3 linked regions of the Canis lupus familiaris genome follow. The protein of the gene in region 3 interacts with the protein of the main gene of each other region in a biochemical or structural test. Links are inferred from orthologs where the notes say so. Each region holds a gene or a part of one and is shown on either strand. Other genes may lie near its edges.

Region 1 (3,566 bases), on a different chromosome or scaffold from region 3:
ATACCGTATGTTAATTAATTGAATTTTAATAATAAATGAAAGTATTAAATATTTTTTTGGAAGCTAATTAGTTTCTCTTTTTGCTATTAAGTTGAGATAATGTTAAAATACAACAATGAAAGGCAGTGACAATCCACTTAAAATCACTCAAATAATAATAGGAGCTTACATAAAGCATTTACAGAGTGTAACAATATTTTTACAGTAATTGTCTGAGGTAGGCAGTGTTATTTCCATTTTACAAAGCAAGCACAGAGGTTATGTAAGTTTTTACCAGTCAGCTAGTAATTAGCAGAGCAGGGTTTATGAACCCATACACAATGTTATGTGCTCTTTTGAACCCATGCATAATGTTATGTTATGTACTGTTTAGCCTCTGAGATTTTTTTTTATTTCTAAAATTAAAGTTAACATACAGAAAATAACAGTTCTGATTAGAAGTCTTAGTTATGCAAACATTTTCTAGTGATTCAAACATTTTAACTGTCTTTTCCTCTTCAATTAAGGAAAAAAAAAAACCCTCATAAATCCCCTTTTTTGAGTTTTTCTTTTTAGAATTAACACACAGAGTTAGGTATGATGCCTTTAACAGTAACATAATCTGTTCTATTTGTAGGCAGTTATGGAGGCTGGCAACGCTAAGAACTCTGCACTGATGGCTAAAAAAGCCCCTACCATGCCCAAACCCCAGTGGCACCCACCATGGAAACTCTACAGGGTGAGTGAATCTGTATATTATTCCACTACAGGAATGATGATTGCTTTCCAGTTACTAAGAGCCAAGGAATAGAATCAGGAGGAAAAGGATTGAATATGAGAACTGATAAAGTGATCTGAGATGGGTTGGGGGGAAGGTATCAGGCAGTCTTAAAAGACGTGAAGACTTCTTTAAGTAAAAGCTATGTGTGTGTTTCCTATATAAAATATTTACAGAAAGCTATTAAACATGGAGAACAGATAAAATAATTTTTCTACGTGTTTGAAGTGTTTAATACGAATCCCAGGAGGAAAAATAACATATAATGCTATTTCTTTAGCCCTACTGATTATCTTTTTAATTATAGTAAATTAAAGTGATTCAAAACATACCAGATCTAAAATGAAATGTATGTAGTAGGAAAACTATAGCTACACATAATTAAATATATGTATTAAATTTTAGTTTTCTAATTATACACTAAAGTAGACTTTCTTTTGGTATACCGACCTAATAAATTTTAATAGATGTATAAATTTGGGTAATTACTTCTTTATACACTCAGTATAAAGAAGTTCCGTCAGCTCAAAAAACACTCCTGTGCTATTATTTTATACTTCTAACTTTCCCTACCCCTGGCAGCTGTTCGTTTGTTTTTCATACTATTTTTGTGGGGTTTTTTTCAATTTTGTTATGTAATGGAATTATACAGTATATACATTTTAATACTGACTTCCTTCCTCAGCTTAATGCCTTTGAGGGCCCTCCAAGTTGTATTAATATATTCCTCTTATTTGCTGAGTAAATATTCCATTGTATAGGTATATCATAGCTTGTATATGTATTTACTGTGATTGAAGGTAATTTATAATTTTAAAATCTAAGTGTCAAATAATTTTATAAATGTATTTGAAGATATGAGGAGGGGCTCTTCAAACTTGACTTATATGTAATGAGTTGAAGTTGAACAAACTAGTGTAATGAGTCCACCCATTCTATGTTTTGTTTTATACAGGTGATCAGTGGACATCTTGGCTGGGTTCGCTGTATTGCTGTGGAACCTGGAAATCAGTGGTTTGTAACTGGATCTGCTGACAGAACTATAAAGGTAATAGGAAGGAGGAAGAAAAAATACGACTTTGTATTTACTACGTGATTTTAATCTTTTATTTCTGAGGTGGGAATTGCTGTTGTAGTTTCTCTGATTTCTGAGACCTGAGTATGGAGTAAAATTTATTATCTTTATCAATTCAGTGTTCCAATTAAATATGTTTGGAAAGTGGTATTTAAATAACAGGCTTTTCCAAACCAAACATACCGACTACCACTAATTTCTTGATATTTTTTTCTCCTCTGGTTACAAACTTAAAGCTTACTCATATATAAAAAATGAGGAAAATATAGAGAAGTACAAAAGAATACAGACCCATATGTAATTGAACACTGTCAGATAATTTGAACGAATTTCTTTTTAGTACTTACTTCCATGCATATGTGTCACTACATTTCCTTCTGAGCTTTCTTCCTGTGTGTATAAATGTGTATCTTTAAAAAATCATGATGGGGGTGTCTGGATGGTACAGTCAGTTAAGCAACTGATTCTTGGCTTCAGCTCAGGTTGTGATCTCAGGGTTATGAGATCAGGCCCTGCATCGGGCTCTGCACTCAGCGCCGTACCTGCTTAAGGCTCCCTCCTCCTCCTTTTGCTGTCCTCCCCACCACCCCTCATCCCCATGCACATGTGCACTCTCTCAAATCTTAAAAAAAAAATACATAAATAAAAATTCTTGAGTGTTACATAGTTTTGTACTCTGCTTTTTTTCCACTTAACATATAAGAGGCATATTTTTGTGAAGAAATGGACATCTTTTTAAATGGTTTCACAATCTATCAGATATTCTATAATCTATTTTCCTATTGGTAGACATCAGAGTTTTTAGTTTCTTGGTGTTCACTATCACAAGTAATGCTATATAATTTTTGTGCCTAAAGCTTTTTGCCATATTTTAAATGATTTTGTTGGACAGATCCCCAGTAATGGAATTAATGGGTCCAAGATTTTTGTAATTGACACCCAAAGTACAAATATTTTCCAAAATGGGTGACTTGATATTTGCAGTGTATTACAGGATCCTTTTTTAACACACTGATTGTGTATCTTTAAAAATATCTGTGGGGATCCCTGGGTGGCTCAGCATTTAGCGCTGTCTTCAGGCTGGGGTGTAATCCTAGAGATCCGGGATCGAGTCCCACATCAGGCTCCCTGCATGGGGAGCCTGCTTCTCCCTCTGCCTGTGTCTCTGCCTCTCTCTGTCTCTCAAGAATAAATAAAATAAATAAATGAATGAATGAATAAATAAATAAATAAAATATCTATCTACTAACGTTAAGCAGAAATGGTTACCTAATCTTGTAAAAACCGCACAAAAAAAATTTATAGTGGGATTCCTAGTAAAGCTGTTAAGTTTTTTCAACATGTATATATTTTTTATTGAGGTATAATTGATATACAATATTATTAGTTTTAATATACAATGTAATGATACAATATATTGGTATATTGTGAAATCACAATAAATCTAGTTAACATCTATGACCATACATAGTTGCAGAATTTTTTCCTTATAGTGAGAATTTTTAGATGTTGAGTACAGTAGTATTAACTGTAGTTGCCAGGCTGAACATTATATCTCCGTGACTTACCTGTTTCATAACTGGAACTTTGCACTTTTGACTCTCTTAACTCATTTCCCCCACTCCCACCCCCCACCTCTGGTAACCACTGATCTGTTCTCTGTATCTGTGAGCCTGGTTTTTATTTTTGTTTATAGAGTTCACATACCAGTAAAATCACCTAGTATTCGTCTTT
Region 2 (3,381 bases), on a different chromosome or scaffold from region 3:
GCCTCCACCTAAGGCCCAGGCTCTGAGTTCTTGACTATGCAGTGTGATTATGTGCTGACGGCACCTGGCCCTGGGGCTGTCACAAGGGTAGAGAGACCGTGGCGCTGTGTGTGTGTGACGTGATAGGTGTGGTCCGGGGTTCTTGGGCTGGGCCATCTGCTTCCGCTGTTCCTGCTAGTTGACCTTTCATAAAGGCTGGAGGAGGATGGCTCAGAGGTAGGTTTTTGGTGAACGCCATCTTCTCCCCCTCATGACCAGTGGATGACGTTGTGCTATCCATCCTCAAACTGCAGGAGCGCACCAATGTGGCCAACTTCCCCGGCCACTCGGGCCCCATCACCAGCATTGCCTTCTCAGAGAATGGCTACTACTTGGCTACAGCGGCTGATGACTCCTCTGTCAAGCTCTGGGATCTGCGCAAGCTTAAAAACTTCAAGACGCTGCAGCTGGATAACAACTTTGAGGTATGCCCCTCCCTCCCCTGCTGCTCTTCATTTGTACTCATCGAATCATCTGAGCTGCCTCTGTTGATCTCTGACTGCCTCGTAGTTTCTGTTCTCATGTGACCTCTCTCCTGGTTCCAACAGGTGAAGTCACTGATCTTTGACCAGAGCGGCACCTACCTGGCCCTTGGGGGCACGGATGTCCAGATCTACATCTGCAAGCAGTGGACAGAGATTCTTCATTTCACAGGTAGGGTCTGGACTCCGGGATCCCCAGGTCCTGGATGCCCTGGTGCAGAGCAAAGAGGGCAAATACCACTGGGCTGGGAATTTCTAGGGGCAGGCGTGAGTTTGCTTGGGCAGCTTTTCATCACTACCTGAGGCAACTGAGTTGAGTGACTAAGAAAATGAACTCAAAAATCATACTGCTGAGCATTAAATCCTAGCTCTACCACTTCAGGTCCTCTTCAGGTTGTGTGACATTGGACAGGTTACCTAGTCTCTCTGGGGAATGCTAATAGTGCATATTCCATGCGGTGCCAAGGAGGTTTAGATGAGTTTATGTATACACAAAGTCCTCTGTTTAGTGTGTATACATGTAACCTGAGGAAGTAGCTGTGTATATGCGTGTGTACAAACACATACGTAAATAGGACAGCGCCTGGCACATATTAGGGATTTGCCCTTATTCAGCATTGCATCATTCCTGTGGGATTGGAGCCATGACTGAGATCTAGGCCTTGCACTAATGGAATTTCCAATCAGCCTAGAGGAGCAGATGTGAGACAGGTTTACAAATAATCATTTAATTGTTGTGAATGCTGGAGAAGAAAAGTAGAAGGGGTGGCACAGTGGGTGATAGGACTGCTAACCTAATAGCTGTGTGGTCCTGGGTACCTCAGTTTCCCTCTGAGAGCTGTAGCTTCTTCCTTTTTTTTTAACGGTCACATTGATACTGCTTTGCAGATTGTGCCAGTTGGTGACATAGACGTGGCACGCACAGGGACAGTGTGCCTGTTGCACGCTGGAGAGCTAAGCAGACGGCAGCTGTTGGCTGTCTCTGTTGATGAAATTCTCATCCTCATTAGCAGGTTGTGGGCGGGGCCCAGGATGCTTCTCCTGCCCCCACATTCTGCTGAGCCCTGCTCAGTTTGTATGCTGCAGGGGTGTCCAGGCCTAACCGTGACCTTCACTGGGCTCCGGTGTTTTGGAGTTGAGCGAGGCGGGGTAGTGGGCTGGAAGCACAGCCTGGGTTCTGTAGTCGGGGCCCCAGGTGTTATCCTAAACCTAGAAGGAATTTGCTTTGCTGCTTGTGACTACCGGAATCCAGGAAGGTGTGTCACCCAGCCTCTTGTGCCCTCAGCCCACCCCTGCCCTACCCTGTGCCCTAGGTCGGAACCCGTGAGCTAGAACTTATTGACAGACTGTCTCACTTATAAGAAAGGAGGTAGAAATAAATACATATAATAGCATTGAGGTTTTAGATTGAACAGAAAACTCAGCTAAGTTTTTAAAAATAAGGTGAGAAGTGGAAGAATGAGACTATGTCTGCTTGGTCTGTCGCTCTCTCTGCCAGCTCCCAGTGGGTTCTAGTAGCACTTGAACTGAGCAGAATTGCAGCAGCCCCAAAAGCTCAGATGAGGGGCAAAGCTCAGGTGAGGGGCGCTGACATTCCTCTGTTCACTCAGCCCACAACAAGAACTCGAGTGCCTACTGTGTGCCGGGAACTGAGTAAGGCCCAGGGCACAGGTGGTGTGTAGGCCAGACTAGCACCCTGCCCTCGGGGGTATCGGGGTGACTAGGAAACACTGAGCACTGACCCGGGGAAGCCTCACCACTGCCTCTTGTCTCTCTCCTCAGAGCATAGTGGCCTGACCACAGGGGTGGCCTTTGGGCACCACGCCAAGTTCATCGCTTCAACGGGCATGGACAGGAGCCTCAAGTTCTACAGCCTGTAGACCCTGGCCCTGCGGATCTGGGAGCTGGGCCTCATCTCAGTAGAGGGGTAGAATTAGGGTGGGGGGAGCGGGGAGGAAGGGGAGAGACTATTGGGGGAGGGGGGGTCTCTGGGGCGGGGCATTCACATCATTTCACTCTGGTCTGGGTGGTGACCTGAGAGCCATGGCGGCGGGGACCACCCTCATCCATGCCACCTCCAGCCTGACAGGAAGGATCACGGGAGGTAGAACTGTCACCCTGTGAAGGCTCTGGTTGGAGCCCAGGGCCTCTCCCCTCATGGTGTTCATTGAGTTGCTTCAGTTCCTGGGAGATGGGGAGAGGCTAAGCCAAGGGAAGTGTGAAGGGGATGGGCGTGAGGGCTCTTGCAGGTTTTTGTAAGCAGTGATTTAGTTTCATTAAAAAAAGAAAACAATAAATGTAGCACTTTCCTGTGTGTGTCTCTAAAGGGAGCCCCAAGCTGGGAAGGTCAGGGGGAGGGAGCACATTTGCTAGAAAGACTTTTCATGTCCCTGCAGGCCTTGACCTTGTGTTTCTAGGGTCTTAAGGGTCTCACTCGTGCCACCACTTCCTTGTGGGTTTGGCTTCTACAGCAACTGAGAGCAACTGAGACAAGAGGGAGAAGTGAGGGAAGAATAGCTTTTTCTTGCCCATGAGGAAGTGTGAACATATCAGCAAGGACTCTAATGCTGTGGGTGCTACAGAACCTGCCCCAAGCCAACCCAAAAGATTTTTCAAACTAGCTTTTGAATATGGAAGGAGAGCTGGTTCCAGGGAAGACAGCCAGAAGAGTAAATGAACATAGAAGATCAGATATCAAATGCCTCTTGGAGTGAAAGTAGGGCTCCTTGGCTGCTGCAGCTGGGGTGGCTTCTTTCATGTGATAACGAAGCTGAAGTCTTAGTGCTCTGGAGCTGAAATGGAGGAGGGGTCTTGCTGGCAGGGGAAGCTTCTAAAGGAGGGGATGATCAGGGTGCGCAGA
Region 3 (4,159 bases):
GAGGCAGGTCGCACAATGCATGCTCCAAGGGGGCACGATTTACATCCTAGACATGGTGGATCTCACTTTCTTGTAGTATATCTCTTGTTTCCAAAACATCAGTATTTTGTGACAATTTCCCAGCAAGTGGGAATAAAGCTCCTTGGAGAAGCACCGTTTTCCCGTTGGTACAGAGGTTTACATAGAGGGTAAAAGGTGGTCCTGAGAGGGAAGGAGAAGCCATCATCATGCACCCTTGTAATGTTAGATCTAGAAATGGCTCTTGAGAGAGGACCGGTGTAATTCTGATTTATTAGGAATCTTGCTTACAAATAATAAAAAACCGGGATCCCTGGGTGGCGCAGCGGTTTGGGGCCTGCCTTTGGCCCAGGGCGCGATCCTGGAGACCCGGGATCGAATCCCACGTCGGGCTCCCTGCATGGAGCCTGCTTCTCCCTCTGCCTGTGTCTCTGCCTCTCTCTCTCTCTCTCTCTGTGCCTATCATTAAAAAAAAAAAAAAAAAGGAAAAAAATAATAAAAAACCAACTCCAAAATGGCTAACTTTTCAGATGAGGATACTGAGATTCAGCAAGGTTATTACCCAAGCTGATGAGAGAGCCAAGATTTCAATCCGATCCGAGTTTGTCTGAATACCAGTGCCTGCCAACGGTAACTCTTCATTATCAATCCACATGGACTGAATAGCGATGTACGAAAAACACTGACAAGATAGTTTTGCAGGTTTCTGGGATAATCACCGGTCATCTGGGGTCGTCCTTCTTATAACAACAGCTGCCACTTTTGGGGGGCAGTAATGTCTCAGACACTGGACTGGCGAGGTTTATGATCTCATTTAATCCTTAGGACAGCCCTATGAGGTTGCTATACTAGTATCTCTATTTTACAGATTAAAAAGCTTAGGCTTAAGCTAGTTCCTTTTCCCGAGTATTCTGCGAATAAAGTCCTATTCGTTAAATGCCTAGTAAAGCGCTAACTTAATAAATGAAAAAAAAAAAAAAAAAAACAAACAATAAACGAACAAAGCTCTTCCTAGAACACCTGGGCTATTTCTGCACCCGTGATGTTCCCTCTCTTCGCCACTAGGTGACGTCACGATCAATCCCACCGCCACCTTCCCTGCGAAGAGCCGCCCGCGATATCTCGCGAGAGCCGTGCTTTCCTCCAACCTGTTTTGGACATGCGCGCGGCGTGGGGGCGCTTTAGTGGAGGGGTTGGACGGCGTTCCGTCGGTCTTTCCAGGCTGGAGCTCTAGCGAGGCGCTCGTTCCTTTCAGTAACCGCATTCTCGCGAGACTTGCTACACCGCTCCCCCTATCCGCACCCCCCCCCCCCCCCCACCCCGCCTTGCGCCTGCGCAGATCTCTTCAAACCAGAAGGTCGCGCTTGGAGGAAGTGGCGGCTTTAGGTCCCGTGGCCGCAGCGCCGTTACTACTTCTGTGAAGCTCCTCTCGGCCGCTTGCCGAGACACCCCGCAGCCAAGATGCCTCGAATTATGATCAAGGGGGGCGTGTGGAGGAATACCGAGGTAAGTCCCCTTTTCCCGCCGTCCGCTGCCCTCCGCCCCCTTCGGCAGTTTGTGCGCAGGCGCGCGGCGGTCCAGGAGGCGAGGAGGATGCCCTGCGGGGTCTGCGTGGGGACGGGGCCCGCGGGGCCGCCCCTCGGGGTCCTCGTCGGCTGTCCGGCCCTGCGCCGCCTGAGCGCCCCGAGGACGGGGACTGTGATTTAACCACTTGACGTGCGAGGCACTTGTTAGGCCCTTAGTGAATGTTTTTGTCGAATTGAGGACGCGCCCCAGCCCTGGAGGAGCTCGCCGCGTGCAGGGGGCGGGGTAGGACCTCCGCGAGAGCTGGTCCTCCGTCCCTCCGTCCTCCCGCACGGCCCCGGCACCGTGCCGCTCTGACAACTCACGTAAAGGGAAGTGCTGTGGCCACAACTTCATGGACTTCCTTGCAGGGGCTTGGGGCAGCCTGAGTGCCAAGTTCAGAGCCCGTTTGCGCCCGCAGCTCTCTGGTTACCTGTTCCTAAGGCATGACTTGTGCGTCCTCACGACGGATCCCCAGGCCTGTGCCTTCCTGTCGCTCCGCCTCAGCTAGGATAAGAAGCCAGAGAGGACAAACTGCCCGCAGTAGTTATTTGCTTCCAGGACTGCAGCGGATGATGCTGATGGCTAGCCGAAGGGCGGTAGGGAAGGAGTAAAATAACGAACAGGATTTCGGTGCAGTTTGTGTCCAGCGTGCGCTGGATTTGTCAGTTTCCTGAGCACATCGTATCTTTTCAGGCATCGTGTCTTTTTACTTCTCGTGCCTTCTTGAAATGTCCTCCTGCTGCTTGACGTGTTTCTAACTATCCTTCAGGGCCAGTTCAGAAACTATTGGAATTTTTGCCCAATCACTCTGTAAAAATGAGTTACACCCCCCGTCGTCCCATGGCACCTCCTTCATCCACTTGGTATAGAATGGTTTGCCTTTTTGCAAGCATCACAGTCTTCTGTGTGATGCTGATAAATTTCTTAAGCTCTCAGAGCCTCAGTTTTCTGATGGGAATAAGAATTATTTTGAAGATGAAACGAGTCAACATATAGAGCAATCTGGCACACAGTAGTCTTTCAGTTAGGTGCTAGTTGATAACTGCTAGCTGATACTGCTTTCCCCCAGGAAACAGCGCTGCAAGAGGACCCCTAGAACCTAGGATAGTAACCAACATGAAATAGATTGTTTGGCAAGAGATGAATCTAGTAGGGTGGGTAACTGCTGTATGCACTCCGTTGAAGATGTGTTTAAGTCTAGCAGTATTGTAACAAAGTTACACATAGTGACAACCTTGTCTCACAGCTTGCACGGAGGGAACCAGGCTGTTTAAATTGGAAGAGAGATGACTTCTGGGGGAGAGACAGATGTACAAAATCAAATAACAGCAGGATTCCTGTAGAGTGGCCAAAGCCCTGCAGTCTTTAAAAATCTCTGATGATGGGGGGTGGGGGGGAGTGTGGGGTGTGTGTGGAATGGGGTGGAATGGAATGGCTCCTGTATGAGGCATGTATCTAAAGTTCAGTGTGGAAAAAAGCCTCAAGTTAAATGCCCCAAGTGCACACTATTCTTGGTGTCTGTGGCTTACCTTTCTGGACTCCCCTGGAATTGGTGAATTCCATATCAGAATGGGTGCCCTGATGAAACAGGAACTAGAGCCTGGAGGAAGAGCTGACTGGTGCAGCAGGGAAGAAATACTTAATTCTTAGGTTAGACCTGAAATGTGGACTTTTGGGTCGAAGCAGGGGTTATGGGACTGGAGAGAAAATGACCTTTGTAAATTGGAGTGGAGAATGGATTCACCGGAGTCTTGACTTGCTTCTTGAGGGCTGGATGAGGTCTATTTCATTCTCTTTTCCTCAGTATACAAGTCCTGGTGCAAGGTAGGTGTTCAATAAATGTTTTTTGAATGAATGAATAAATGATTGAGCTGTATCCTTTTGAGGATGATGACACCCAAACACAGGCGTGTACTTTTTGTTAATCACTGCCAAGTAGGGTTTCTCACATTGGGCTGTACTCCTAGTTTATTGGGTTGGGGATGGGGTTGTGTATAAAGAGGGGTAGGATGTCCTTCTGAGGGATTTCTTCTGAAGTTTTTGCATTTTGCCAATTCTAGCTTGTTTATTATTATAATAAATGAAGTTTTGTACCTTTTCCCCCCAAAACCTAGGGGGTGTGTGTGTGTGTGTGTGTTTATGACTTTCTCTTTCTCCCTAGCAATACTGTCAGAGTTAATTTAAATTTTGTCTTTTCTCACTTGGAATTTTATGATTGAATATATTGTTTTTCTTTGACAATTTTTTTAGGATGAAATTCTGAAAGCAGCAGTAATGAAATATGGAAAAAACCAGTGGTCTAGGATTGCCTCATTGCTGCATAGAAAATCAGCAAAGCAGTGCAAAGCCAGATGGTATGTACCACTTAATGAGTGGAAAACAGAAAGCGACCTTAATTATGATGAGGAAAATGTCAGTTCTTTGAACCTTGCCAAAGAAAGCAGGCAATGTGATATAACAGAAAGTATGGTGTGGGAGATGGGAATTTAGATTTAAGCCTTAGCTGTCACTTGCTTCCTGTGTGATCTTAGACAAGCCATTTTTCTATCTCCTCTTTCCTGTCCCCAATTGGGGA

The links. The genes of interacting proteins can lie anywhere in the genome.
Region 1: the proteins of CDC5L (region 3) and PLRG1 form a complex in vitro, tested with the Homo sapiens proteins (3 studies listed by BioGRID, with this or other methods). The link is inferred for Canis lupus familiaris from reciprocal best matches to the Homo sapiens genes CDC5L and PLRG1.
Region 2: the proteins of CDC5L (region 3) and PRPF19 form a complex in vitro, tested with the Homo sapiens proteins (2 studies listed by BioGRID, with this or other methods). The link is inferred for Canis lupus familiaris from reciprocal best matches to the Homo sapiens genes CDC5L and PRPF19.

Annotation. Positions count from the first base shown.
Region 1 is NC_049236.1:52,564,194-52,567,759, reverse strand, and holds part of PLRG1 (pleiotropic regulator 1), read left to right. Parts: intron 1-616; coding exon 617-718; intron 719-1,712; coding exon 1,713-1,805; intron 1,806-3,566. UniProt on the Homo sapiens protein: Involved in pre-mRNA splicing as component of the spliceosome. Component of the PRP19-CDC5L complex that forms an integral part of the spliceosome and is required for activating pre-mRNA splicing.
Region 2 is NC_049239.1:56,006,006-56,009,386, forward strand, and holds the end of PRPF19 (pre-mRNA-processing factor 19), read left to right. Parts: intron 1-293; coding exon 294-464; intron 465-587; coding exon 588-693; intron 694-2,303; coding exon 2,304-2,401; 3' UTR 2,402-2,822; downstream 2,823-3,381. UniProt on the Homo sapiens protein: Ubiquitin-protein ligase which is a core component of several complexes mainly involved pre-mRNA splicing and DNA repair. Required for pre-mRNA splicing as component of the spliceosome.
Region 3 is NC_049233.1:12,972,113-12,976,271, forward strand, and holds the start of CDC5L (cell division cycle 5-like protein), read left to right. Parts: upstream 1-1,342; 5' UTR 1,343-1,479; coding exon 1,480-1,524; intron 1,525-3,834; coding exon 3,835-3,938; intron 3,939-4,159.